7 linked regions of the Mus musculus genome follow. The protein of the gene in region 5 interacts with the protein of the main gene of each other region in a pairwise test. Links are inferred from orthologs where the notes say so. Each region holds a gene or a part of one and is shown on either strand. Other genes may lie near its edges. The genes, in order: Car8, Rbfox2, Bhlhe40, Smap2, Maged1, Rbfox1 and Ccdc33.

What was found.
Region 1: the proteins of Maged1 (region 5) and Car8 interact in binary tests that used the Homo sapiens proteins (3 or more experiments, as listed by UniProt). The two-hybrid records come from large-scale screens. The link is inferred for Mus musculus from reciprocal best matches to the Homo sapiens genes MAGED1 and CA8.
Region 2: the proteins of Maged1 (region 5) and Rbfox2 interact in binary tests that used the Homo sapiens proteins (3 or more experiments, as listed by UniProt). The two-hybrid records come from large-scale screens. The link is inferred for Mus musculus from reciprocal best matches to the Homo sapiens genes MAGED1 and RBFOX2.
Region 3: the proteins of Maged1 (region 5) and Bhlhe40 interact in binary tests that used the Homo sapiens proteins (3 or more experiments, as listed by UniProt). The two-hybrid records come from large-scale screens. The link is inferred for Mus musculus from reciprocal best matches to the Homo sapiens genes MAGED1 and BHLHE40.
Region 4: the proteins of Maged1 (region 5) and Smap2 interact in binary tests that used the Homo sapiens proteins (3 or more experiments, as listed by UniProt). The two-hybrid records come from large-scale screens. The link is inferred for Mus musculus from reciprocal best matches to the Homo sapiens genes MAGED1 and SMAP2.
Region 6: the proteins of Maged1 (region 5) and Rbfox1 interact in a two-hybrid assay, tested with the Homo sapiens proteins (2 studies listed by BioGRID and IntAct). The link is inferred for Mus musculus from reciprocal best matches to the Homo sapiens genes MAGED1 and RBFOX1.
Region 7: the proteins of Maged1 (region 5) and Ccdc33 interact in a two-hybrid assay, tested with the Homo sapiens proteins (2 studies listed by BioGRID and IntAct). The two-hybrid records come from large-scale screens. The link is inferred for Mus musculus from reciprocal best matches to the Homo sapiens genes MAGED1 and CCDC33.

The regions. Positions count from the first base shown.
Region 1 is NC_000070.6:8,236,242-8,240,275, reverse strand, and holds the start of Car8 (carbonic anhydrase-related protein), read left to right. Parts: upstream 1-1,234; 5' UTR 1,235-1,321; coding exon 1,322-1,424; intron 1,425-2,165; coding exon 2,166-2,357; intron 2,358-4,034. UniProt on the Homo sapiens protein: Does not have a carbonic anhydrase catalytic activity.
Region 2 is NC_000081.6:77,132,554-77,136,053, reverse strand, and holds part of Rbfox2 (RNA binding protein fox-1 homolog 2), read left to right. Parts: intron 1-3,112; coding exon 3,113-3,337; intron 3,338-3,500. UniProt on the Homo sapiens protein: RNA-binding protein that regulates alternative splicing events by binding to 5'-UGCAUGU-3' elements. Prevents binding of U2AF2 to the 3'-splice site.
Region 3 is NC_000072.6:108,659,340-108,663,428, reverse strand, and holds the start of Bhlhe40 (class E basic helix-loop-helix protein 40), read right to left. Parts: upstream 2,801-4,089; 5' UTR 2,517-2,800; coding exon 2,437-2,516; intron 2,269-2,436; coding exon 2,199-2,268; intron 1,925-2,198; coding exon 1,817-1,924; intron 909-1,816; coding exon 785-908; intron 1-784. UniProt on the Homo sapiens protein: Transcriptional repressor involved in the regulation of the circadian rhythm by negatively regulating the activity of the clock genes and clock-controlled genes.
Region 4 is NC_000070.6:121,014,448-121,018,503, forward strand, and holds the start of Smap2 (stromal membrane-associated protein 2), read right to left. Parts: upstream 2,801-4,056; 5' UTR 2,405-2,800; coding exon 2,302-2,404; intron 1-2,301.
Region 5 is NC_000086.7:94,539,226-94,543,170, reverse strand, and holds the start of Maged1 (melanoma-associated antigen D1), read left to right. Parts: upstream 1-1,145; 5' UTR 1,146-1,279; intron 1,280-1,846; 5' UTR 1,847-1,875; coding exon 1,876-1,920; intron 1,921-2,623; coding exon 2,624-3,316; intron 3,317-3,889; coding exon 3,890-3,945. UniProt on the Homo sapiens protein: Involved in the apoptotic response after nerve growth factor (NGF) binding in neuronal cells. Inhibits cell cycle progression, and facilitates NGFR-mediated apoptosis. May act as a regulator of the function of DLX family members.
Region 6 is NC_000082.6:7,068,665-7,072,634, reverse strand, and holds the start of Rbfox1 (RNA binding protein fox-1 homolog 1), read right to left. Parts: upstream 2,801-3,970; 5' UTR 2,637-2,800; coding exon 2,550-2,636; intron 1-2,549. UniProt on the Homo sapiens protein: RNA-binding protein that regulates alternative splicing events by binding to 5'-UGCAUGU-3' elements. Regulates alternative splicing of tissue-specific exons and of differentially spliced exons during erythropoiesis.
Region 7 is NC_000075.6:58,116,024-58,120,001, forward strand, and holds the start of Ccdc33 (coiled-coil domain-containing protein 33), read right to left. Parts: upstream 2,801-3,978; 5' UTR 2,722-2,800; coding exon 2,412-2,721; intron 1,609-2,411; coding exon 1,280-1,608; intron 1,184-1,279; coding exon of another isoform or gene 1,181-1,183; coding exon 1,064-1,180; intron 1-1,063.

The sequences.
Region 1 (4,034 bases), on a different chromosome or scaffold from region 5:
TCTTCAGACAGTGGAGGAGTAGGTCAACTGATGTTTTTCTCCTTAGCCTCCATCCACTTCCTGAAGACGTGATACGATATTTATTTTTTAAGTTAAGGCCCCAACAGGCAGTAAAGGATAGCAACCCGGCACCTTAAAATTTCCCAGCTAATCAATCACCCCCGCCCTGTTTGAGGAACTCGATGCATCCATTAATCTCACAGACACTGTGGAGTGTGCATGGGCTATGTAAAAGGCAAAGCATACTGCAGGCCTGAGTACTAACTTACTATGCAAATATATCTGCTATCGTGGAGGAAAGGAGCTTAGGGGTTACTGAACAGGGCTGGAACACCAGGATGAAGCATTAGCCTGAGGTTGGGACACACGCTTCAGGGGTAACGACTTGACCTCTTTGGATCGGGGAAAGTTCCTGTTTGTTTCGTAATGTGTGTGCATTTCATTATTTGCGCGACTTCACGAGGCGCTTGGGAGCGGTGTCCACAGCAAGGTGAGCCTGCAGCAGCACCCCAGACTTAGAAAGTGGAACCAAACACCCCATTTCATTGTCTTTGAAATATATTTAGTAAAAATTTCTCAAACTATACCTATGTCTAGTTGCTAAATTATTTTTCGTGAAATGTTTGTTGGACTTATTTTGGGAAAAATAAAATCCATATTCATTTTCCCTGTGTTTTAAGGACGGATTAAAAAGTAAAACTCGCTCAGATAAGCTGCCACCACCACGCTTGGCCCCATGGTGGTGGTGCATTCTTGCAAGCCCAGTGTTTGCAAAGTGGAGCGAGCCCTGTGCAGTTCAAGGTCATCCGCTTCTCCACTGGGAGGAGTTTGAAGCCAACCTGGTCTCCTTGAGACCCAGTCTCACAAAACCAAACCCCAACAAAATTGACCGGTAAACGATGGCCAATAAACCATTCGACCAGGGAGTCTTGTTGGGTTCCCGGTCTCAATCCCGTTCCCAAAGCAAGGCAACTCCATTGGGAAAATTGTTTGGAGCAAGGGGAGCACGGGAGACAGGGCGGATTTTGGAGTCTCCAGGCTTTTGAAAGGGTATTAGGACTTGGGTGCAGCAGGCTTCCCGTGTTGCTGCAGCCCCAGTTTGATTTTCGCAGGCTTGCCTGTCCCGATTGTGGGGTGAGAGGGGGTGTAGGTGGGAGTGTAGGGCGGGGGGCGTGTCCTCGAGTCAGACACGCCCCCACCGACCTTAAAACGCGCAAGCCTGCGCCGGACCGCTGCCTCTCGCGCTCGCGGGGACTGCCACGCTCAGTGCGGTCCCCAGCCCCGCGCCTGCCGCTCCCGCACCCGTGTCGCAGAGCTGCCCATGGCTGACCTGAGCTTCATTGAGGATGCAGTCGCCTTCCCCGAGAAGGAGGAAGACGAGGAAGAGGAGGAGGAGGAGGGCGTGGAGTGGGGTTACGAGGAAGGTAGGCTCGTGGGGCCGCTGTCGCGGCTGCTACGCCCCACGCGGTCCCCCACTTGCCCCTCCGTGGCTGCCTGAGTGCTGTTCGCACCTGCTGCACCCAGGCAGCCACATCTCCCAGCCTGGAGCAGACGTGCAACCGAGTTGCTTTCTAGTCTTGGGAAGTATAACCAAACGCACTTCAGAAAAACCGTCCCGAATTGCAGGCTGGATCTTGGGGACTTTAAAAAGAGTTTTCTAAATCTGTCTTCGCAGATCCAGGGCTTCGAATAGTCATTAGTGCCCGCCCATGTTTCCTGTATACACGGAGAAAAGAGCAAAAGAACTAATATGTATGGGACACTGTATTTGCATTTTAAACAAGTGGCGCTCATTAGCGTTACAGGTTTTCTGTTGTCTCTGAGCATGTGGGGCTTTGAGGAAATTTCCCAGTACTGCACATAATTGAACTGATGAGCAGAAGAAATTTCTGAGGTATCTTTTTTCTAGTCACTTCAAGATGGCATAAGTTTCTTAGATCCCTACATCAAAGCGTCTGTATGCACAGACAGTAGAGGATTTTGTGTGTGATATTTAACAACAGATCACTCACGTAATGAATGTAAAAACCCACACACATTTCTTATATTTCATCTACATACAGATGATAGTCACAGCTATAATGTTAAGGATTATGAGATTTTTGTGTTATATTTTACTGTCATTAACCTTAAAAAAATCCAACCTAGTCTCATTTTGTCTTCAGGTGTTGAGTGGGGCTTAGTGTTTCCTGATGCTAATGGGGAGTACCAGTCACCTATCAACCTAAACTCCAGAGAAGCCAGGTATGACCCCTCACTGCTGGATGTCCGCCTGTCTCCAAATTATGTGGTGTGCCGGGACTGTGAAGTCACCAACGATGGACACACCATTCAAGTCATCCTGAAGTCAAAATCAGGTAATTTGGAACACATGTTTCTGCACTTTTATAAGCAAGCTCTGATTTAACTTGTATGGTTTTAAAGGCGACACCAACACAGTTTCTATTTTCATGGTCCTTATAAGTTGCATTTTTCTGGGAATTATTTTCTAATAGAGTTCTCAGGGGCTAAGAGGGTGAAGTGATGATTATCTCAGCTGGCTGTTCTTCCAAAACTGTGCCTGGAGCTGCCTCTTGCTCAAACAAACATTTACTGAGCTATGAAGGAAGGAGTGCACACACAGGCTTGCGGAATTGGGTCTTTCTGCTGTGCGTTTTGTTCTAAGTTACTGATTAGCTGAAATCATTTAATTATAATGTCTTTTGAAAATAGTTTGTGAGACCAAAGATTGGGATGTATTGATATCACCTGTGTTCAAACTTTTCAAATTAAAGTTCCCTTCTCTATCAATGACAAGAATAACTTTAATGTTGAATGCAGTCCGATATTTAAGTGGCAACTCAGTGCTTGCTTTTGGTTATTGTTAACTCACTCACTCTTCTTGAACCTTGCCGAAATGAATCTGAAATGTTTTGTGGAAAATGCAATTTCTGGGAGAATTGCTTTCCAGCTTAAATGTAGGAGAGACAAAAACAGATTTAAAAAACATTAGCACTAAGATTGTGTTTTTCATGGGGAATAATGACTATTTTTCCTCCTGGAAGGAATGTAACATTAGTGTGTTGAGTGTTGATGTGTTTTACAAACAGACTGTGCTTACATTAATTCCAAATTGATCAGCTAGGTATTTCAAACCATGAAACCATTAGGTCTGTCATTAGGCAAAGAAGATATTTATTCCTCATCTTGTTTCACAGTTTCAATTCGAAATCCACCAGGCAGAGCCTGTATTCTTTGCAGTTATTGGTAGTTTAATTGAGGTGGGGACAGCTCCTGAAAACAGTGTGTATTTTATATGGAGCTAGTAAACACACACACACACTCACACACATTCACACACACACTTACATTCACACACACACTTACATTCACACACACTCACACACATTCACACACACATTCACACACACTCACACACACACAAACACACTCACAAACATTCACACATTCACACACTTACATTCACACTCACACACACTCACTCACAAACACATACTCACACACACACATTCACACACACACTCACACAGTGAACTTAGATTTGAGCTTAAATCAGAATGCTTTGGAGATGTTTATCTCTGGTCATTACATATTCTATACTTCTGTATACTTTATATATTCCTGGCCCCTCCCCTCCTCTGACCTCCACTCCCGAGCAGAAGGAACTGCTGCCTGTAGTTTTGTCCTGACTTGCAAGGCTGGATCCAGACTTCATTCTCTACTTCTTTCTGGACCTTCCTCCCTCAGGGGCCCAGTCCTCTCCTGTCACTACAGTGATTTCTCCCTTTTAATGTGTCAAGAAACGTCCTGCGCACGGCGGTGCACACCTTTTAATCCAGCACTGCAGAGGAAGAGGAAGGTGGGGTCTCTCGACTTCCAGGTTAACCTGATCTACATAGGGAGTTTCAGCCATGGCTACACAGTAAGAGCTTATCTAAAAAAAAAAAAAAAAAAAAGAAGAAGAAGGCAAGTGACTGGAAAAAAAAAATCTCTTAATTAGTTTATTACAGCTTCTCTAAGGAATTGTCTTTAAA
Region 2 (3,500 bases), on a different chromosome or scaffold from region 5:
AATGTCTTCTTCAGTTGCTTTCCACCTTAGTTTCGAGACAGGATCTCTAATGGAACCTTGTCTTAGTCAGGGTTTCTAGTCCTGCACAAACATCATGGCCAAGAAGCACTTGAGGAGGAAAGGGTTTCCTCAGCTTACACTTCCACATTGCTGTTCATCACCAAAGGAAGTCAGGACTGGAACTCAAACAGGTCAGGAAGCAGGAGCTGTTGCAGAGGCCATGGAGGGATGTTCTTTACTGGTTTGCCTCCCCTGGCTTGCTCAGCCTGATCTCTTATAGAACCAAGACTACCAGCCCAGAGATGGCACTACCCACAAGGGGACCTCCCCCCTTGATCACTAATTGAGAAAATGCCTTACAGCTGGATCTCATGGAGGCATTTCCCCAAGTGAAGCTCCTTTCTTTGTGATAACTCCAGCCTGTGTCAAATTGACACACAAAACTAGCCAGTACAAACCTGTAGCTCACCTTTTGGCAAGACTGGCTGGCCAGCAATTCCAGGGATCCTCCTGCCTCTGCCTGCCCAGCTCCAAGTACTTCAACAACTGAACCATCTTCCCAGTGACTGGTTGGTTTTAGAAAGGCAGGCCAAGTTTGAAATCTGAGCCTACCTAAGCTCCCAGGGAATAAAAATGACGCTTGTAAAATGCTTAAAAGCAGAAATATTTTTGGCATCCTAGTTAAACTGGGGAATATTCTTTCAAGTACTTCTTTTTGTGATTGAGAGACTGTCTGAATGGGCTGCCTTTAGAATTTGCAGGCTGCTGTTTAGGTTATGCCTGTAAATTGGAGTCAAGATTACCAAATGGAAAAATTAGAATGAAGTTGAGAAAGGAATGGGAAGACAACAATAAAAATACCTTCTCTTTCTACATTGCATGGACTTCATCCTAGAAAGATGGTAATAATTCACCTTTCCAGGTGTTATGTGCTTAGCTGCCTAGCCTAGAATATAAAGCATAGGGGCCGGAGGTGTGTAACGAATACTTGCTGGTTGTTCCTTGTCAGATTGACACAAACTAGAGTTCTATGGGAAGAGGTATCAGTTGAGGAATTGCCTCTCTCAAACTGACCTGGAAACATGACTATAGGCCTTTTTTTTTTTTTTTTTTTTTTTTTTTTGATTAATCACTGTGCGTGGTGACACCCTGGGTAGGTGGCCCTGGGTTGTACAAGAAAGCAGGCCAAACAAGCAATGAGGAGCGAGCCAGTAAGTAATGCTCCTCTATCAGTTCCTGCCTCTAGGTCCTTACCTGCGTTTAACTGATGAGCCATTTCTTAAGCCCTACAAACAAAATTGCTTTTAGAGCTGTGTGCCTGGGTGTGTCTGTGTGTGTCTGTGTGGGTGGGTGGGTGCGTGCACACGCTCGTGTGTGAACGCCTGCTTGCCTGCCTGCGTCTGTGTGCTCTTATGTAGTGGGTGCACGTGGATATGCGTGCACATTCATGTGGAAGTCCAAGGTTGATGTCAAGAATATTCTTTACCACTTGATTAAGTCCGGTGCTCTGTCTTGCCTCCATGACAGACTATGAACTGCAAAGTGAAATGAACTCTTTTCTCCCCTGAGTTGGTTTTGGTCCCAGCAATAGAAAGAAGTGTAGGGCATTGGTCTCCCAGAGAATCTGAAGGGAGTTCCCAGCACCCATATCAAGCAGCTCACAACCACCTGTAACTTCAGCTCCTGAATGTCTGGCGCCCTCTTCTGGCTTCTGTAAGGACATATACAGATATATACATACACATACATTTTAAAAATAATACAAATATTTTAAAAGCATTTCATGATGTAGAAGCAATCCTATCAACTGTCATAAGTTGGCTGGGAGCTGTTGTATTTCCCTTTCAACTTAAAACTTTGAAATGTGAACTGAAAATTGATTAGAAAACATTCTTATATTATTTTTATTAAGAATGTTAAATGACTTCATATTTCTAATAAAAACAATAGCCATAATATATGTGGTAGAGTGATTGCTATAAAACATAAAGCATTACTCCAGGTCTGTTGTCTTTTTGGTTTGGTTTTGGTTTTGGTTTTGGTTTTTGATTTTTGATTTTTTGAGGTAGGGTTTCTCTGTGTAGCCCTGGAACTCACTTTGTAGACCAGGCTGGCCTTGAACTCAGAAATCAGACTGTCCCTGCCTCCCAAGTGCTGGGATTAAAGGTGTGCACCACCACTGTCCGGCCAGGTCTGTTGTCTTAGCATATAGACAGCTGTGTAAGTGTTGCTATCAGTCACATTTCCCTAAGTCAACAGGAGCCCTGTTCCCTGATGGAGGATTGCACCCTCTTATGGGCGACAGTCCTACCGTGGTTACATCTCGCTGTGCCTAGACTATGGGTATACCCTAGAAGCATTTCCTGCTCCCAATCCCCACCACTAGTTGATGTGTTTGTTCAGTTGACTGGGCCAGCTCTGGCAGAAATGGCCCTGTGGGATGATTGATGCTGTTTGCTTGTGGACCACAGTCTCACTCCCATCAGGGATGGGGTGGAGAATGGCGGTTAGAGTTCAAGAAGAGCAGCGTCAGAGACAGAGGCAAGTTCCTTGGTCCTAATCTAAACTTGGAAACTGTGTCTTTAAAGCTTCATATGTTTCTTAATAGACCCTTTCTGAAGATTTCTGAAAGGCAATCCTTAGGCTCTGCTCATCTATTAGTCTACCTTAGTTTGAATTTTTGTCTGTTGCACACCTGTTTAAATGCTAATCAGTCTTGACCTTGGAAGCAGTATATTCTGCCACCAACTATGGGTACAGGCAGAGCACCAAATGATTTGGAAGAGATGATCAAATATTAAGCTCTTGGCTATCAAGATGGCTCATCAGGTAAAGAAAGGTACTTATCACCAAATCTGAGTTTGATCCCAGGGACTCATGTTGAAGGAGGATGTAGAATCAAGTTGTCCTAACTCCACACCATACCATAATGCTCACAGGCAAAGCACACATAAAATTAAGTTTTATCAGTTGATATTTTTTAAAGAATGAAGTTATCTGATGATCCTAGCAGTTTCTTCCTGAGCGGGGGATAGTGAGAGAACATGCTAAGAGTCCTGTGTGATAAAGATTTATTCACTCACTCCTCTTTCTTTTCTGTTGCTTGCTCTAGGGTAACCAGGAGCCAACAACAACTCCTGACGCAATGGTTCAGCCTTTTACTACCATCCCGTTCCCACCACCTCCACAAAATGGAATTCCCACAGAATATGGAGTGCCACACACTCAGGACTATGCCGGCCAGACCAGTGAACATAACCTGACCCTCTACGGGAGTACGCAGCCTCATGGAGAACAGAGTAGCAATTCACCCAGCAACCAGAATGGATCTCTCACGGTATGTGAAGTCGGAGATGCAAGGTAGAAGGACGTGTGAAATTTTTACCTTCTCGGAAAGAAAGCGCTTTGAGTTAGTTTAGCATTTCTACTCACTGCCCAGCATGCATGTACTGACTGTTCTTTCCTAAGCCTTGTGGCTGGACAGTGGGGAGCTTGAACTA
Region 3 (4,089 bases), on a different chromosome or scaffold from region 5:
TATACTGTAGCTCACACACACACACACACACACACACCCCGAGATCAGTCCTGATCAACTTTCTATTTTTAGAAAGAAAACTGGCAGACATACTGGCTTGGTTTGGTTTCTGTGATTCTCATTCTAGCCTTGGACAGGACTGAAGAACGCCTATTGGGGTACATATTAGGATTCCCCCTGGTCTGTACCCCGATTCTCTGAAACTCAGGATAAATGAATGATGAAAGCAGTGGTTTCGTTGGATTGTGCAATTTGCCAAGATACCTGGTGGCTATTCAGGGAACCACAATGGAAGGCAGGCAAGAGGAAAAAAAAAAAAAAGAAAAAAGAAAACCTGCTGTCATCCTGCCAAGACTGCACCCCACATCCAAAGAGAAGGAAGCAAAGAAACAGGAAAACACTGGGGGCAGACCCGTGTTCTGTTCGCCCATGAATGAGGGCTCATCAGACCAACTGTAAAAACACCCACAATGCAAATTATAGGTGCCTTGGCATTTTAAAGGGGGATGGGGAAGTCTCCCATAACCTAGACACTCTCAAAATGTCACCGAAACATTTCATCACTGGGCTAACATGGACTCATTTCAGGTGGCGCACAGCAGCATTCCGTATGGCAAAATATGACCTTTTAGGAAAGAATCAGAAGAGCATCTCCCCCCCCCCCACCCCTGCCCAGTGACTGTGAAAAATGAATGGTAACAGAAGAGTCAGAAGCCAGAGCGAGCTCCCAGGGGCTAGATTGGCACTGAGCTCTCAGGAGACACTAATCAGGCCGGGGACTCACCAGCTTGTAAACCGCTCTGCAGGGCAATGATTTTCTGCTGCTGCTGATCAATTAGATTTGTCAATGCTTTCACGTGCTTCAACGTAAGCTCCAGAACCACTGCTTTTTCCAAGTGACCCAAAGTCTGAAGAAGAAGAAAAAAACGGAGAGTCTGTCACCCGTGAGGTCAGTGGAGTCCCTTCTGACACTATCTGTTAGGAGAATTGGGTGTCAACAACAACAAAGATAGGAAGAGTCTTTCCTGCTCCACTAAATTTAAAGTTTGCAGATGTTTTAACATATACACATAGATGATCAAAAGCTTAAAAAAAAAAAAAAGCCAGACACGTGTTGTCTATCTTTGGAGGCATTTTGGTAGTTGTTACAGTCTAGGGAGTGAGCTGACAGATATATTTCTCCAGCAGCTGCCCTGACCTTAACTTAGGGGACTCCGGGGATAACATTTATCTGCTGTGGTGTCAACCCAGGGAGGGATGTCTACTGTGTCTGGCAACCAAGTGGCTTTCCCAATGTGTTGCGTTTCTTTCTTTCTTTCTTTCCCCCCTGACACTTGTTCAGAACTTCCAGTCATGCTGGCTTTTTGTCTTCCTTTCCAAATACTTTTCCCGAAGGAAAAGCTAAAAAGCTTTTGGCTACCAGTAAAGATTATGACGAAAAAAAAAAAAGGCACACATTAAATAAAGTAGGTCCTATTGTAAATGAAAAGCGGACAAGGCTTAAGTTTTTAATTTCGTGGTTTGCTTCTTTAAGTCAGGGAGACTACAAGGTGGTGAGAGAGAGAAAAAAAAACTACCAAAAGGAAGCTGTGTTAGTGTTGAAGCCAACTTAAAGAGGCCCCAGATGGTTCTGGTTCTGCCTCTGCTTAGGAAGTTCTGGGTCTGGGGATGGGTTCCCTCCAAACCAGAAGCTTTGATCCGCCCGTCTAGCATGCAGTTCCCCGTGACGCCTGCAGGCGGCGAGAGACACCCCCACCCCACCATCCGCCCTCTGGGCAGAAGAACTGGGTTGGAGCGCAGCCAGCTTCTCACTTACAGTAAGTTTGAGATGTTCGGGTAGGAGATCCTTCAGCTGGGCAATGCACTCGTTAATCCGGTCACGTCTCTTTTTCTCAATCAGCCGGTGCGGCAGTTTGTAAGTTTCCTGCATGGAATACATGGAAGCAATGGGTGCCCGGGGAAGGGAACGAAGCTTCCTCCCTTCCTTCCCAACCGGTAGCAGGGGGGAAAAATTCTGCGAGGGCGCAGAGACGCACCCAGATTCACCTTCTCTGCCCCTTCTTTCCCAAGTCACTCATTTGTGGCAATGAGCTCATCTCATCTTGAACCCCCCAGCCAACCTTGAAACAAGCAAACTTTTCTTGGAAACTCAGCGCACACGAGGGGCTAAGGAATGAGGTTCCCAGGGATGCACCTACCTTGCTGTCTTCGCTCCGTTTTATTCCCCGCCTGGACTTGTACACTTGGTACATGTGGGCAAAATCCATCCTGCAGGGAGAGAGGTCAGAAAAAGCCGTGACTCCCGAGTGCGTACTAGCTGCAGGAGCCCTAGACGTGAAAGAAGCCCCCTATACTCTCAGAGATGCCCCAAGTTGAGAGTGTCGCGGAACACAAGGTTAGGAGTGGAGACTTGAAGGGATCACAGCACACACTTACCCTGACAGGTCTCCGTGCTCCAGCCCTGGAGCTTTGGGCAGGCAGGTAGGAGGTGGTTGCGCGCTGGGGATCCGTTCCATGATGCGGCGAGCAGGGGCCACTGTGCGCTCCTGTCTGCACTTAGTAGAGTCTGAGAAAGGGCTGCCCTGGAAGGGAGGATCCGAGGGTCTCAAGAGGTATGTTCCTATGAGCTAGCCTGAGCTTCCTTGCAATGCGCTGGGATGCCAGGAGCAGCGGCTTTGAGGTGTCGCTTCAGTTGGGGGCGTGCATGGCCGGGTGTCCCCACGGCTTCTGGCTCCCGCTCTGCACACAGACTGGCGGTGTGTGCTCGCTGCGCTGTCTGCGCCGTGCGAGCCAAGTGAATGAGAAGTGGGGCGGGCGGAGAGGCGGGAGGGAAGGGGGGGTTGCTCAGGGCGGAGCGGGCGGGGCGGGGGGGGGGGAGTTGCTGGAGGGGACGAGCCGAGGAGTAAGGAGAGGCTGCGGGCTGGGTTAAATGGGAGCGAGTGGGTGGGTAGAAGCTACGTGTTCTACCCTGTGACTCCAAGCACGTCTGGCCGCTGCCGGGGAGGGAAGGAGCGACCTGCCCGCCCTCCCCCGGCTTCATCACATGAGCCTCACGTGTTGGACAACGCTCTGGCGGCTGCGAAGTGCCCCCCCCCCCTCCAAACCTCGGGCCCCCAGGTGTCTGCGGCTGCGGCCTCCTTTCCCCGAAAGAGGGGGTGGCAGCGCAGCCAGAGTCCTGCCCAGCTGGGTGGGGGGCACGGAAGCTGGAAGGAACCGGGGAGCTGGAGGGGGGGGGGGAAGAGTTGGTAACGTGGGCGAACCTGCCCCAGGGAAATGAAGTAAGTTCCCGTCTCCTGGGAGGGAACGGGGGAGGACGGATTCCGCCCGCGTCTGACTCAAGCCGGGAGAGGAATATCCCCTTGGTCGCTCCAGCCCAGCCTTCTTCCTCCTCCCCCGCCTGGCCCGCTCCTAGGAACCGGTGCGCAGCTGAGGGAGTCGTCGGCCCCCCTTAGCCTTCTCCAGAGGCTGGGGTTTCTTTCCGTCCTGGCTTCCCAGCCCCCCCCCCCCCCCCCCCCCCAGCGCTCAGCCTCAGTGTCCAGGAATTGCCCGCCTTGGGGAGGGACCGAGGGCGGGGCGGATGTCACCCCATGGGAAGCGGGCTGGTGGCCAGGAGCTAGGGCAGCCGAGGCCGCCGCCGAGCACGCCGCGCGCACCTGACCGTGGACCGTGTGAGCCGTGCCGACCCCCTCCCCCCACCCCCACCCCGGACTCTCCCGGGAGCTCAGGTCCCAGGCGCAGCCTGCGGGTGGCCTGGCACCCGACTGGCGCGCACCCATCTCCTCCCGCCTTTCAGGGTGCCTCACTGCCCCCACCCACCCTGGCTAGTCAAGCACAGAAAGATACCGGGCACAGTGCCCGGCGTTCCCTCCCTCCTCTGCCCCCTCCGATGCAGAGGCGTCCGGGTCGCCTCCCCTCCGGCTGCAGCGTTACACAACCGCGGCGACGGCGCCTGCCCTGCAGCAGCGCGGGGCGTGACGCTTCACGTGGCCCGGACGCGGGCCGGAGCTCGGCTCACTTGCAAGCCTCTCCGCGCTGGCTTCCAAGCCTAGACCCCCGCGCACCGGGCTGCAAGGGATCTGCATGGGATCC
Region 4 (4,056 bases), on a different chromosome or scaffold from region 5:
ACATTACAAAAGTATCCACTTAGAGGTCTGTAGTCCAGGCAACATCAATACACTAAATACTAATAGATGAACTCTCCAGACCTTGTCTGGTGAGCTCTCAATTTTCTGAAAAGGACAAGAGGAAAACAGAAAAGTAAACTCAAACTCAAATCTTATTTCAGTGAACAGTCTTCTAACTCTTCCACCAACTGCTGGTCCTTTTTATCAGGGCTGAGCAGGTCATGATCTACTAATGCAAATATCTCTCTTTCCTACCCTCTGAGAACTGCCTACGAGTTCATCACAAAACCTGAAAGTGGAAAAGAGGAAGAGAATGAAGGAGGGGTTAACCGGCAGACAGGGCTGAACATTCGGCAGCTAGATAAACAGGCCTCTGCAAAAGCCTGTTTGACAGAACTGAAAGATAATGGACACGTGGGCATCTCTTTTTTTAATAGTGGCAAACGCGTTGAAGAGAATTTCTAACTTCAGAACATTCAGGATCCAAGGTTTTAGTATCAGTGGCAGACAGCTACTAGGCTTTGTTGTTGGTGTCGTCTGTTTTTACATCTTAATTATTAACTTTGTGGAGATTGTACATGTATGTACTAGAGTCCACGTGGAGGTCAGGAGACAATTTATGGGAGCTGGTTCTCTCCTCTTACCCTGTGAGTCCTGGGGATCAAACTCAGGTTGTCAGTCTTAGTGGCAAGCACCTTTATTCACTGAGCCCTATCGCAGGCCCCAGTTACTAGTTCTCATCAGGAATTAACGAAGTTCTATGTCTGATTATATCTAGTAAGGCTATTAATAAAGGGCAATGGGAGATTTGGAGGAAGACCTGGTAAATTAACGTGTCTCTTCCCCATGGTATATGTTATTGGGATGAGTAAGCATACAAACAACATGAGTACAGGGGAGGGGGCGGTTCTAAAAATCATCAACAATGGTTTCTGCTCAGTGGATGCCTCGCTGCGACTTAAAATTGTCAATGAGGACATCAGAGGATTTGAGTAGACCAAAGGTGCTCCTACACTGTAAACCAAACCTTCCAGTAGATCTAACAAGAATCAAGCTACAAGAAATTTCGACTCCTCAACATAAATTGAACTCCTGTTAACGCAAAAATTCTCGAGAGAAGTCTGGGGACCTGCTTTGCTGACAGTTCACTGCATTTGCCTACTGATAGAGGTCACTAAAATTTATTACTAGGAGTCTAAATCAATGCATCATCATTCTTGCGCCCTCCTTACATAACCTTACTCTAAAATAAACCATAATCACATGAAGTATGGGCTAAGTATCTATTGCTTTTCTCAACATTAATACACACACACATCTGAATGCTTTATACTACTTTATACCCATATGCTACATGGCAAATTCAGGAAATGAACTAAAGTAAATACCCCCTCCCAATTATAGCTGCTCCTACCTACAAAGCTGTACAGAATTCACTAGTAAATTTTCTACCATATTGACCTTTAATTGTAACACAGCATGAACCTTTACAGACACAGAAAACAAAGGCTAAGTGGTTGTGGCCAATTTCTATTTCCTCTCTAAAGGTGTAATCACCAGGGAAATAACGAATTGGGGGAATTCCTTGCTTCCTTTTCTCCCTGCTTGAACGGGTCCTGCACTACAGTCCAGGTCTGCTAGTTTCGCTCACCACACACGCATGAGGCCTCCACAACCCAGGCTAGACTACCTAGAAATCCGCACTGTGTCACTGCATAAGGTAGCTGTTTCTCAGTGCACACGACCTGGGTGAAGAAAGCCACCTAAGCACTCGGTCTGAGCTCAACAAGGTGGTAAAATGACAGGAGCTGCTAACGACATAGCAGACAGCAAGGAATGCCACCTTTAAATATCATTTCGACAGTTTTTCTCTTAGTCATCTCACCTTCCTCCTCGTCACCCCCACCGCCACCCCCACCACACTGCAGCTCACCCACAGCTTTGCCAAGTAAAAGGCTGCCAGCTCTGCATGACAGCGAGCCCAGAAGCCATTCAGAGTCTGCAACATAGACAGTCTCACCTGAACACACCGGGCAACCCCACCCCCCACTATATCATCCCCACTTCGCTGACACACACACACACACACACACACACACACACACACACACTCGCCCACACCAAACCCCAAGTCCCAAGCCCGAGGAAACCCAGCAAGCTCATGAGCGAGGGTGGCTCGCGTGGTCATACGAAGAGGACTCGCCCTGAGCTCCAGAACCCCCTCCCCACTCAGGCCATCGCAGCTCATCGCCACGCCGCCGCCCCGCAGCTGGCCCCCCGCCGGCGCCCCGGATGCGTTACCTTTGGACTGGCAGTCAGCACAGAACTTGTTATCTTCCTCCAGCAGCAGGTTGGCCAGGACCGCCTGGTACCGATCCACGTCCTTCACCGACTTGCCTGTCATGGCCAGGGTGCCGGCGGGGGCAGAGGGCGACGCGCCCCCTGCACCCCCCAAGAACCCCTGCCTCTGTCCGGGGCTGAGGCCTTGGGGTCCCCGCCCAGGCGGTCCTCTCGCCCGGCCCGGAGCAGCCCCGGGGTCAGAGCCGTCAGCGCCCCCGCCCCGCAGCCCCTCAGCCCCTCAGCGCGGCGCCCCCTGGCGGGCTTCGGGCAAGGCAGGGACTCGCGGAGGCTGCGGGACCCCAGAAGTGGCCTAGGTGGAGCGAGCTCCCGGCTTCAGGCGTGCGGGACGCACACTTGACCCCGAGTGTTGAGGGTCTGCCCGCTGTGCTTCCCGCCTCGGTTTCCCTGGCAGCTGCGACCAGCTCAGCCGCCACCTCCACCGCCTACTTCCGGCAGCTCTTCCTCTCCTCCTCCACCCAGCCCAACCCGCGCATGCGCCCCGCCCACCGCGCTGCACTGGGCTCTCCCCTTGGCTCCGCCTCCTAGGAACCAATCCGGGAAGAGCCGGGGGCGGGGCTTAGGTGGAAGCGGCGGGAGGGAGGACACGCCCCCTGCGTGCCCTTGGAAAAGAATGAATGAAGCCGGGTGGAGAGGGAGGAGAGTGAAGAGAATAAAGTGAAGGGAACGACCAACATTTACAGAGCTCATACTGTGTGCCATGTACTGCTCTAAGCGCTTTCTATCAATTATCACAGTATGCTCTTCACAGCAACCTTTATAAGATGTGTGTTTATTATCCTTATATAATACAAGGGTTGTGGCTATCCCAGACTCCTTTAGGTTAGTCTTTCCTTCAAGAGACAAAAGGACTCACCCTCTGACCCGAGTTAAAGAGACATTACACCCTCCCTCGTGATCACTTCTAACTTGGAATGCCTCCTGCCGCTGATATACATTAGTCTTCTCTGTGACTACTGCCCTTTTTGAGCATCGCTCTGACTAGTGTCTAGGCAGAACTTTTCTTTCCTTTAAAAAAAATTTTTTTTTGAACAGGTTCTTCCTAAGTAGCCCTTGGTGGCCTGGAACTTTATATTGTAGATTAGGATAGCCTCGAACTAACAGAGAACTGCCTCCAAAGTGCTGGGATTAAAGGTATGTGCCACCATACCTAGCCTCCTTTACTTGCGTGTGTGTGCATGCGTGCGTGTGTGAGTGCGTACGTGTGCGTGTGCGTGTGCGTGCGTGCGTGCGTGCGTGCGTGCGTGCGTGTGTGTGTGTGTGTGTGTGTGTGTGTGTGTGTGTGTAGGTGTCCAAGGAGGCCAGAAGAGGGCATTGCAGTACCTGAAGCTGGAGTTTCAGCTGATGGATGAGGGTGTGTGATGTGGGTGTTGGGGAAGGAACCAGGGTCCTATGAGAGATTACCAAACTCTCTCACCTGCTGAGCCATCTCTCAGGTTGTTTGGGGGAGAGCCAGTTATAGGGTAACATGGAATAAGCAGCTACTTAAAAATGGTTATTAGGTATTATTTTCCAAAGCCTCTCTTGTTACAAATAGTGTCTTGAACCCACGGCCATCTTCCTGTGTATGCATTCCGTCCCTTCACTCATCAAATTCTTAAAAGAGACTGAGAAAAAACAGGATGTGCTAAAGGGGAAGAGAACGCTACTTCCTGATATTTGCTCTTAAGGGATTCTTCTGAAGGCTAGAGTAATAGA
Region 5 (3,945 bases):
GCGGTCTCGCTCCTGGAGACTGCCTACTAAGAGGAGCACAGAACGAACCTAAAGGGTCCCCACACATGCCAGGCCTCCTAGAACACAAGCCTTATTCCCATGGAACAAATATTGGGGAGAGGACAGCTTGTTATTCCAATAGAGGTTGAAGGAGTGCCCCTGTTCTCAGACTAGATTTTACACTCAGGAAAATCCAGGCCCCTCATGGATGGTTTTGTTTGTCTTTTAGATCAAGTCTCAGAGTTGCACAGCTGGCCTGGAACTCAGGGCTTTCCCTGAGTCCCCAGAGTGCTGGGATTACCAGCCTGCGCAGCGGTGCTGGGGCAGGTTCTGGCCTTTCTGTGTGGTACCAGCTCAATGCCCCGGGCTTCTGCATTAGCTACCTGGTGTGTTAAATGAGAATGTTGCACTCCATCCATCTCCCTAAAACAGCCTGCAAGAAAAACAAGCCCCAGGGCAGACCCCACAGCCCAACGCCTTTCCCTCACCTCTCTAACCCAGCCCTCAAAAAGGGTTTCGATGGGCAAAAACTGCCAAAAGGGCGAGAGAAAAAGCTCATTTTCTGAGTCCAGTGAGAGGAAACCTATAGATCCCCCCCCCCCCCGGGCGACCCTTGCTCCGGTATCTCTGCAATGGTTTTTTTTTTTTTTCTGGCCTTTAAGGTTTCTGCGTCGTAGAGTGGGTGAACTCAGCAGAGGCCTAGCATGTTTCGAAATAAGAGACCCCCGCGGGGGGCCTACCTACGGGGCTCTGCACACGGGGGTGGGCGGGAGCTGCGGACCTGGCTAGAGAGAGTTCGGGAAAAAGGGCGGGACTGAGCATAGACGCATTGCGGAGAAAGGTAGGGGGCTGGTGTGTCGGGCCAGGGGGTGGGACCGAAAGGCGCTGCGCATCTGTTGAAGGAGTGGATGCGTAAGGAGAAGGGGAGGAGGAACCTTTGTCCACTGTCAACCTGGTTGGCGGTGGGATAGTGTGCTGGCAAGGAGGCGGGCTCTCCTCCAAGTGCACATGCGCAACAATGGCTCTGGGATGAAGCTTTTGTTGGGAAAGCAAGCGGGACTCTTATTTGGACAGTGATCTGCTGCGCATGCGCGGCGCGTCCAGAGGCGGTGGGTGGTATATTAGGCGGAGAGGCGGGGTCGCCCGAGCTGCCGCGCTGGCATTTTCTCCTGGACGCGGAGAGAGTGCGGGTGCCGAGAGCCGGACAGAGCCATTCCCGATCCTCTTGAGTCGCGAAGAAGGAAACAGCGAAGGGATTGGGGTTCGGCCCTGAGGCAAGGTGAGGTTCGCCCCCAGACGGGGCATCTGCCCCCCTGGCGCGGCGTCCTTCCGCCATTCTTTTCTCCCAGTCCCTTCACCCTGGATTCGGAAGCCCCCTGCTCTGCCTGCTCCCGGATTCAGACCCTGCTCCCGACCCTTTTCTAATTTGAAACTCCGTCCGTCCCCCTGAATCTTTTCTCCAGTTCCCTCCCCGAATCCTATTTCCCGACCTTGATCCCGTTAGATGGTTCCTCTGAATTCAGAACCTTAATTCAACTTTTCGGACGCCCGTGTCTCCCCGCTCGCCGCCCTCCCTCCCCGCCCCCGTAAACTACCGCATCCACAGCTCCTCTCTGACTCCAAAACGGCAGCGCTGAAGCTTTTCCCTGGCCGCGTCTGAGATTGGAGATGGTCTAGCGGGACGACCGGTTACTTTTCCCGCTCCGCTTAGGCCTGGTTCTCCCCCCGGACTCGGCACCTCACCCGCCCCCAGAATCAAAGCACACACGCACACAGAATTCGGTCCTATGTCTTTTCCTTCTGTAGTGTAATGCCCAGCTCCTCTCTCCCACACCCCCCCCCTTAGGCTCTGCTCTTGCCAGGGAGACGAGAGCTATGGCTCAGAAACCGGACGGCGGTGCAGGCCTCCGCGGCTTCCAGGTGAGGACCCCGCTCCCAATTCCCCCATTTTTCCCCTGCTGACAGTTTACGCCCACCCCCGGCCCCTTAGGTCGCGCGAATGGCAGGATCTGATTTTGCCCTTCTTCCGGCCTAGACACCGCGGGCTCTCAGATTTCTAGCGTTTATCGAATGGGGGGGAGGGGCGGCCCTTTTCAGCCATCGGTCCCTGCTTAGAGAAAGGGGAGACCCTGTTAGTCAGGGCATTCTGCCCAGAGAATGCGGGTTGGGTAAGGAACCATTTTTTTTCCATAACCCTGACGCGTGTAGAGCAGTCTGTCGCCCCATCCCCCAACCTCTCGCCTCCACCCTCCCTTTCTCCACGCCGCGAGACTCCCCCTCCACCCTCTCGGCTTATCCTCCTTGATTCCTCCCTCCTCGGGTCTTGAGCTCCCCACCTCAAGCCTAACCAGTCCGTCTCTAAACCCATTTGGGGCTCAGAGCTTGCACCACATTCCGCACCAGCCCCTGCTGCCACAGACTGTCCCTCACCTTGCCCTGCCCCCTCTACCCTTAATTAAATTTTGTTCGCGCCCCGCCTCCCTTTGACCCGCCTCTGCCCCCACGTCTGAGTACTGTGACGCCTGTCTACAGCTCCCCTGCTGCGTTGCGCCGCGCCCCCCCCCTCCTCTGGTCTGCCATGTAAGGCTCAGAGATTGAAATGTTGCCCCTCCTGTGTTTGCAGGCTGAGGCCTCTGTTGAAGACAGCGCCTTGCTTGTGCAGACCTTGATGGAAGCCATCCAGATCTCCGAGGCTCCGCCCACCAGCCAGGCCACAGCAGCTGCCAGTGGGCCAAATGCTAGTCCCCAGAGTTCACAGCCCCCAACTGCCAATGAGAAGGCTGATACTGAGGTTTCAGCAGCTGCTGCCAGGCCTAAGACAGGCTTTAAGGCCCAGAATGCCACCACAAAGGGGCCAAATGATTACTCTCAGGCACGTAATGCCAAGGAGATGCCCAAGAATCAGTCTAAGGCGGCCTTTAAGTCACAGAATGGCACCCCTAAAGGTCCACATGCTGCCTCTGACTTTTCCCAGGCAGCACCCACAGGCAAATCAGCTAAAAAGTCTGAAATGGCCTTTAAGGGTCAGAATAGCACTAAGGCTGGCCCCGGTACCACCTACAATTTCCCTCAGTCTCCCAGTGCCAATGAGATGACCAACAACCAGCCTAAGACAGCTAAGGCTTGGAATGACACTACTAAGGTCCCTGGAGCTGATGCCCAGACCCAGAATGTAAATCAGGCCAAAATGGCTGACGTAGGGACCAGCGCAGGTATCTCTGAAGCTGATGGTGCAGCAGCCCAGACATCAGCAGATGGCTCCCAGACTCAGAACGTGGAGTCCCGGACTATAATTCGGGGCAAGAGGACCCGCAAGGTGAGATCCCAGCTAGCTTCCCTTTGCTTTGGGCTCTCTCCTTTCTTCCAATTTCCTTGGCTCCAAACACAATAAAGGGCATGGATTTATCTGTATTTTGGCACAGTTGTAGGGGGTGCTAAGGTAACTATTATTCCTGAGCCCAGGTTGTCCACAGGCTGATGATGAGTTGATACAAGGACACAGGCAATATGTGTGTAGGCCATCTTACATTTTGACATTAAACACCATGTCTTAAGCTAGGCAGGCTCACACAGAATCAATTAGATCTTGAAGATGTACCTCACTCTCTAGAGAGAACAGAGTCAGGAAGAAACGAGTTCAGGGTGAAACCAAGCACTGTCCGTAGTCACACAGGAAAAGGAGAAATCTAGGTCCCACTTTCTGTTTGTTTGTTTGTTTTTTCCTTTGTCTGGTTTGGAGATGAAACGCCTGTCTGAAAGACAAAGAGAATCAAAGTGACCAGTGGCTAGTGAGGTGTAGGTGAAGATTCCTAGGTACTTCCTAAGATAGCAACTGGGAGGACCCAGGATTAATAGTGACCCTGAAATTTTCTTCTCTCTAATTATACAGGTTAATAACTTGAATGTGGAAGAGAACAACAGTGGGGATCAAAGGCGTGCCTCACT
Region 6 (3,970 bases), on a different chromosome or scaffold from region 5:
GTGACACTGGTTTTCCAGAGAAACAGAAAGTAGGAATGGAAATCCCATGTTAACTATGGGACTGACTTTAAAGAAGAGGCCATGAGAGGGACCTCACTAGACACGTAAGGACACATCTGTAGGTACTGACTGTAGCATGAGTCAGGTACTCTCTTAAAACTTAAAAAAAATGCAAATTATTTTTTCTTTAACTGCAGAAAAATTAAGCCACACTGGCCTGAATTTCAAAAGTGTCTCAGGCAGCAATTCAAAAAGGAACATCTTTGGCCACAGAACTGTTGGCTGTTGAGTTTAGAAAGACTGTGAAATTGTGAACAGCATCTCAAGCAGCTCGCCAGTGGCCCTTGCACATAACCATTCATGCTGTTCCCAACTATGCAGGCACAAGGGATCCTAGCAAAGATGAGTCCATAGTCCTCTTCATTTTCTTGTCTTGCTGGAATCACTAAGTTGCTAAAGAAATCTGAATCCTGGCAAAAGGGCCTTTATTCCTGACTCGGGGTGAAACTCCTCAAGCTAAGGGCCAAGGTAGCTAGGGCAGGAAGTGCAAGCTGAAAGGTAAAGAGGCACTAGAATTTCCTACCTATTCTATCATACCACATCCTTTCCTTAAGAACAAAACTGCAATGGGAGGGGGTTTAGTTTCTTTGAGCCTCCACAAAGCAGCAAGAAGGCTAGCACCTTCATGTGCACAGCCTTGCAGTGTGCTCTGTGTGGAGGAGAGGGGAAGGGTGCAGTGGGTCCCAGTAGCTCATCGGAGGCTCCTCACTGACACACACAGAAGGACTTGTAGGTCACTAGTTCAGAAGTTTCCTTTTGGGAAACAAATGAGAATGGATCAGGTTAACATTTGCAAGTAAAATAACTTGCTCCATTCCACACTAACCAGTTATGTTTCTTGAACATTTTGCCAAAGAGGAAGAAATAGTGCCTTCCCAGCTTTGCAGTTGGTTCTAGCGTCTTCTCATCTATCATTGGGGTAATACGTTCAGAGTGGCATTTTGTAATGACAGAAACATCCCAGCAAATCGATAGTTATTTAATTCCCAACAAGCTCTCGAGTCCATTAAACCTGATTACATTCACCCATTTCTGTGGGTGCCGTTATTCTCCTGCACCAGCACTTAATCTATAACAGGAACTTATGAGAACTTTCAAAAGCAATTTCAGCATCAATCAGCACGGACTGAAATGAGCGATTTGCTTGTAATTATTTATCGGATAGGGCAGCACAGGGGCCGACAAAACTCCAGCCTTTGACCTTCACCCCAAATTTCCAACAGAAGCCAAAAGCACTGTTACTCTGCTTCACCTTCAAGTCCTAAGTTTCATGTCACCATCTGGCCACAAGTTCCCTTCCTTGGTGCCAGGGCCATTCTCTGCTGGTCTATTTACCTATAACATAGAAGTGTAGCAATAGTATCCATACATCTAGGGTAATTGGCAGTTCTGATGCTATCGGGATTGACGTCTGGGTGCATTCTGCCACCCAGCTTCTGACAGTTAATAGAAGGTCACAGTCACAGTCACAGTCAAAGAATAAAAAGAATATTTGTTCAATCCTCCACAGAAGTCGTCATTAATGAATTAGAGTTTTGTAGAACTCTCAGAGAGGGCTGGGTGGGAGTGGGGCTACAGGAAAAAAAGCTAAAGTGTTGTACTGCATATATTTAATTTTCCTTTCCCATAGAAAGGAGATTTAGGATTTATTACTTAGGGTTGCTTATTTCTAAAGAACAGCAACAAATAGCCACTTGCTTCCTACAATGACCCACTTCTATCACAAGTGGATGTTGGCTTCCCAGAGAACTGCAGGCGTACACCCAGAAGCAGTGGGTTTGAGTGACAGCAAGGAGGTACAATAAGGCAAAGAAACAGGTCCAATTTCTCGCTAGCACACAAACCTCTCGGTACACAGAATAATAGCCTTAGCAGTCAAAACAACAGGCATCCTAACTTCTCCCCAGCTGCCGAGAATACAAACAGTTGGCATCGAATTTGCAGAATAACCTCTGAACTTCCTAGCGAGACCATTCTCAGTGTACCCTCTTGTTTGTGGGTCGCCTCTCAGATTTGCAAGGGGAAGCTTCTCTGCAAACAACAACCTGTGTGGGGTGTCCTCAGCAGCACTCTGTATTTCCTGCCCTTCTGTTTCCGGGGTTAAAGCCTTTAAGCAAGCCATATCATGATAAGTTACTGAGCCTCATGATCTGCTCTGGGAGACCCAGTCCCTCAGAAAGCTAGGGAAGAGAGCAAATCTTTTGCCCCCTGGTCAACCTCCCGAAGCAAAGGCATGAATGTTAAACAGCACCCAGATCAATACAAGCAAATACAGCTCAACTACACCATTTATTCATCCATGAGAGATGTCAATAGCCAGATTAAGGTGATCCATCTTTTTGATTTCCTACTGTCTTTCCTTTGACTACACGAGGGCTTTTTTTTCTCTTCCTGTATTAAAAGTGTTTGCTTTCTCAACCATAAAAATTCCAATTATTACTTAGAGCATTCTGGAGTTAAGTTGCTTGCTGGCAAAAGCCATGAATTACCTGCATCAGTCCCGGGAAGTAGGGGGCAGCAGGCACAATCATGGGCACGCCATAAGAATGCAGAAGGACTCCTTGCGACGCCAACATGCTTTAAATGGAGGCTTTATTCCCTCCAAGGCTGAACACATCAATAGAGAGTTAGAGGGGGAAAGAAATCTATAGACCCAACTTCTTCTCAACTACAAAGCCGAGAGCCAAATCACTTCTGTCAGGAGCCAAGTGCTCATCCACAGGCAGCGGAGAGGGAAAGGAAACAAAACCCTGCATCAGCAACTCTTAATGTGAAAGTTTTCTTCCCAGACAAGGAAGGGACGCGGCAGCTGCAGGGTCGGTCGGAGCTACCAAAATGGAAGGAGCTATTTTGGGAGCAGCTCGCCCAACATGACTAACCAAATACTCTTCATTAATTTAGTTCTCAGACCAAGGGAGATGGAGTGACAGGGAATCAGGCGAAAAGAGAAGGCATTTGTCCTGAGGAACTGGGCCAAATTGCAAGGGGCTGGGTCTGCATGAGATTTTTAGAGAGAATAAGTAATAGAAATGTGTAAGCTTACATGACAATCAGTTGCAACTTAAAGAACTTAAACATTTACCCACATAAAAATCATCACCAGAGCCTAGACTTCAGTTCTAAATTGCAACTGGTTGTTATGTGAGTTTGTATACTACCATATAAGCCTGAGGACTGGAATTTGGATCTCCAGTGCCTATGTAAGAAATCAGGCAATGTGTCACACATTCCTAGCACTGGGAAAACAGAGACAGGAGAATGCAGGGTCTCAACTGTCGAGCCAGCATAGCCAAACAGAAACTTCCATGTACAGTGGTTTAGTGGAAGACCCTCTCTCAAAGCGTAAGTAAAAAGCAATAAAGAAAGATACCTGGAGGTCACCCTTTGAACACAGCACATACATTTTCACACCTATACCCATTCCGCCACAGTTATGAACAAAACCAAAAACAACCAAACAAATAAGAACAACAACAACCATAACAACAACACTCAAATCTAGCAGGTTCATGTGGGTAGCTGATCAAAAATTATCTAAGAATACTCAGTATGTGGTGGATAGCCTCTATAATCCTAGAACTCAGAAAGTTGGTATAGAAAAATTGGGAGCTCAGCTGTATAGCAAACTTAAGGCCAGCCTGAGCTACATGAAACTGTCTCAAAACAGTGGGCTCACTTTCCACCCCTTCTTCACCCAATTTCAGTTTGAAAAGGCAATTCATGAGTAACAAAATAATAGCTGAAATCTGAGTAAATTAGCTTTGTGGGTTATTGAGCTCCATTCTTCCACATCTCGGATGCAGGGGCTAATTCCCAGACCCAGGAAGCAAAGTGGTACCCAACAGGAATCCAGACTCACACTAGGCAGCCACTTTGCAGCTAGTAGGAAGCAGTGTTGAGTTTAAACCGC
Region 7 (3,978 bases), on a different chromosome or scaffold from region 5:
ATAGCATTAGACAGAGGAGCTGGGCCCAGGCTAGGAGCACAGGGAGTTTCAGCCTCACCTAGACTGTCCATCTCGTCCATACACTTAGCCTCCAGAACGGATTGGGGCTGAGCACAGGAGTAGGTCAGAAAGGTGTGTTCATTGATTGAGAAATGAATGGACAAAGGTCAGAGTGGGCCATGTTAGAGGCCTGGATGAGAGCATTGCTTCTGGGTCCCTGTCACATGCTGCCTGCTTACTTTGCATACAATCCTGTCCTTACAGGCCCCTCCCACACCTCACCTTTTGCCTCCAGAATTGAATACCTCCCTCTGCTCGGTGCCAGGATAGCTTCAGCTCCTCCCACTTCTTTCCCTATTGAACCTCTCCATGACCTAACTCAGTTTCCCTCCCTGCCTCTACTCAGTGCCAGGCAAGAAAAGTGTGTGGGCGGGGAGGAGCTAGAGAGAGAGGGAGAGGGGGGTGGAGGGAGAGAGAAGGCAGAGGGAGAGGGGGGAGGGAGAGAGAGCAAGCTCTGAGCTCCATCTCAACTCGTCCCTCTGCTGCCCGCTGACTGAGCCACCTTCTTCTCTTTGCTAGCTTATACTAGACCTCACCCATGGAACCTTCTCCAAATTGCTACCCGTAAACCTCACTCACCTAGTCTGAAAGACAAATACAGGATGGAGGAGCCCGTAAATGAGTGAGGAAGGAAGCAAAGAGCCCTTTCAAAATGACACATCTTCTGAGAAAGCCTGTCCTGGGCTTACACCCTGACCCCTTTCAGAGCCTTCATGACAGTGTCAAGGACTGTGTGTAATACCAATATTTTATCCAAATGTATTGGCTCTAGTGACATTCCATACTTAGTGGCTGTCCTGGCATTGGGTACCACACGCTACTATGTATGTCCTGAGGTTTCCAGTAACTGTTGACATTTCGTGGAACCTAGAATCCTGAGGTGTGTTTTCTCCATCTGTGCAATGAACTACTGCTTGCTCTGTGAGTTCTCAATTGGATGTGATGCCTAAATGAGAGAGAACGTAGTAGGGAACCCTCCCACAGAAGGGCTGGTGCCCCTCACCTGAGCCGGATGCTGCCAGGGTCCTGCTTCCCAGCTGAGCCCCTCCTGGTCACTGTCAGTGCTGAATGGGCTCATATAAGATTCTTCTATCTTGTCACTCAGGGCCTCCCTCGAAGTCTGCTGAGAACGTAGGAGATTGAGGTTGGGGACTGTAGGGCTGCAGACAGCCAGTTTCATCAAAGGCTGTGTCCTGAACTGGGACCCAGGAGCACCTACCTGTAGCTCTGGTTGGCTGGGTTCCAGTTGACAGTCTGAGACAGAGGACCTAGGGTCCCTGTGCACATGGAAGGCCACACTGTAAGCCAGGCCCCCACAGTGGCGGGCTGTGGGGTCCTCGCTGGCTCGGAGAAGAGCCAGGTTGCCACAATAGCGGTACAGGTCTTCATGATCCTGTGCTGTGAGGTTCATTCGGGGCTCATCTGGTCGTGGGTAAATGGGGAAGATGGCCTCACCTACCCTCTGAGCCTCCTGTCCTGAGGATCCATCCAGCCTCAGAGCCTCCACACGCAGATGTGCATCACTCTGCCCATCATTCTTACAGAACCCTGGGTGGAGAACATGGCTTTAAATGTGGTCTTTAGGATCTCCCTCCCTTCTCCAAGGGGTGAGAAGGACATCCAGGGCCCTGGGGCAACTTGAACTGAATCCAAGTGAGCTCGGCTAAGAATTCCCTTGTGGCTGACTCCTCTCAGCCCTCACTCAAGACTCCTTTGGTTTACCTATGCCTCATGTGACCCCACCAGAGTGAGGAGGCCTATAGCCCATGGAATTGTTCTGGGTTCTGACACCAGGGAAGAGTTTGGCTAACCTTAGCCTGGGATATACACCAGGACTGTTGTCTGGTAAGTCCTCTGTCTAAGCCTGGATCTTCTAGATTACTTAGCTAGTTTTGACTTAAAATTCCTGCCTCTTTGTACCCAGTCTGGAAGCTCCCAGAAAGTAAGACCAGGATCTTCTATCCATTCATGTCTGTCCAGTCTCTATCCCTACAATCAGAAGGAACTCAGGGGGCTTCTAGCATCACTTCATCCATGTACCGTTCACTGCCTAGGTCTAAACATGCTGTGGGCTTTGTCTCTATCAAATTCACATCCCCCTTTAGTTCCTCTTCACCTTTGCCCTCTATGAGAACAGTTTCAGCATCCATGCCACGCTGAAGGAAGCAGGAACCTTACAGGACCAGCGTTTGCCCAAGGCCACATAGTCACACAGGCAGAGCTTAGAATTAAGGCTGGAGCTCTGCCTCTGGCTGTCCAGGTCCCTTGCAGTCCCCCAGGGTCCTGATCAGCTCTAGGGCAGAAGTCCCAAAGATCCTGCTTCCCCCCCAACCCTTGACTTCACTTTGTACCTTTGGGCAGAGTGAAGATAAATTTGTTCCTGGTGAAGGTGAGGCTCTGGCCAGGATCCTGCTGCTCAATGACCTCAGTGACAGCTGAGCAGGCTGGAAGGGGGTCCCCATCATTGACTTGCAACTGCACCCCAGCACTGGAGCCTGCCTGCAGTGGGTTTTCAGCTGACAGCCTCAGGGCGTACCGGCCCTCCTCATTAAATCCCACACTCAAGATCTCAAACTCCAGGTCCAGTGTCTTCTCTCCAGCCTTCAGTCGCTGGCTCAGCAGGGATGCAGGGAGGTAGGGATCAGGACCTCTAAAGGCCATGGCTTCAGCCAGGGTCAGAACTCCAGGCTGAGCCCTGCCCTCTCCTGCTCACAGTCCCATCCTGGGTCCAGTCGGAAAGAAGACAGATTAGGCACTTGGGGCCACACCTCACCCTTCTCTGTTTGTTTGAGAAGGATCCAGGCAACAAGCCAGGAAACTGAGCCTGAACTGGGGAACAAAGGCATCAATTAATTCTTCCCATTTAGCATTTGATCTCTCAGTAAATATTTATTGAGAACCTACTGTATATGAGGTGCTGTCTTGGGCATTTTGAATATAGCAGTGAAATAGACACATTCCTGCCCTCCTGAAGCCTGTCTTCTAGTGAAGGTAATGGGTAGAGAAGACAAAGATAAACAAGAAATATGGAAAATGAATGATCAGGGCTGGGACTCGGTCAGTAATGTACTTGATGCACAAGCATGAGAACCTGAGTTTGATTCCCAGGACCCATGGAAACTAGGAATGGTTGTGTATGCTATGCTTATCATTTTAGTCCTGGGAAGGCCCAGGCAGGAAGTCCATCTAGGAGAATCAGTAAGTTCCTGTCTTAAAAAAAGTAAGAGTCCTGAGGAATAACATCTGAGGTTGACCTCTGGTATCTACATGCACACACACACACATGTACCTGTACATACAAACACACACATGTGTATGTGTGCACACAAACACACATACATAAACATGCACACAGGTGTACCTGTACACACAAACACACACACACAAGCATGCACACATGTGTACCTGTACACACAAACATACACACAGATACAAACACATACACATGTGTACTTGTACACACATTTGTACTCATAACATATATAAATCCTTAAACCATACACACAGCATGTATGCATGCATGCACACACACACACAAACACATACACACACAACCAAATTCTCAAGTGTGCTAAGAGATGATCTACTTCATACATTCTATAGAAAATTGGGGGCACATGAGTATGTGGTATTCAGAACTCTCCATTTCTGGGGAACCTGTCTCTACCTGGGAGTCCTTAGTATGGATATGGGAGAGGTCTCCAGGGTAAGGGAATATATGGTCCATGTCTGCTTCTGCAACCAGCTTACCTTATACAAGACATACAGCTTTACAGAGAACTTGGCCTCTCAAAGCTAGGTTGTCAGTCTAGAGTCTGTGCTTCTTTGTCCTGGGTTTCAATGGAAATCAGAGGATCCTAGACACTATTCAAAAGAGACTAAGTCTGCTGCCACTACTATCACCACCACGCCGCCACC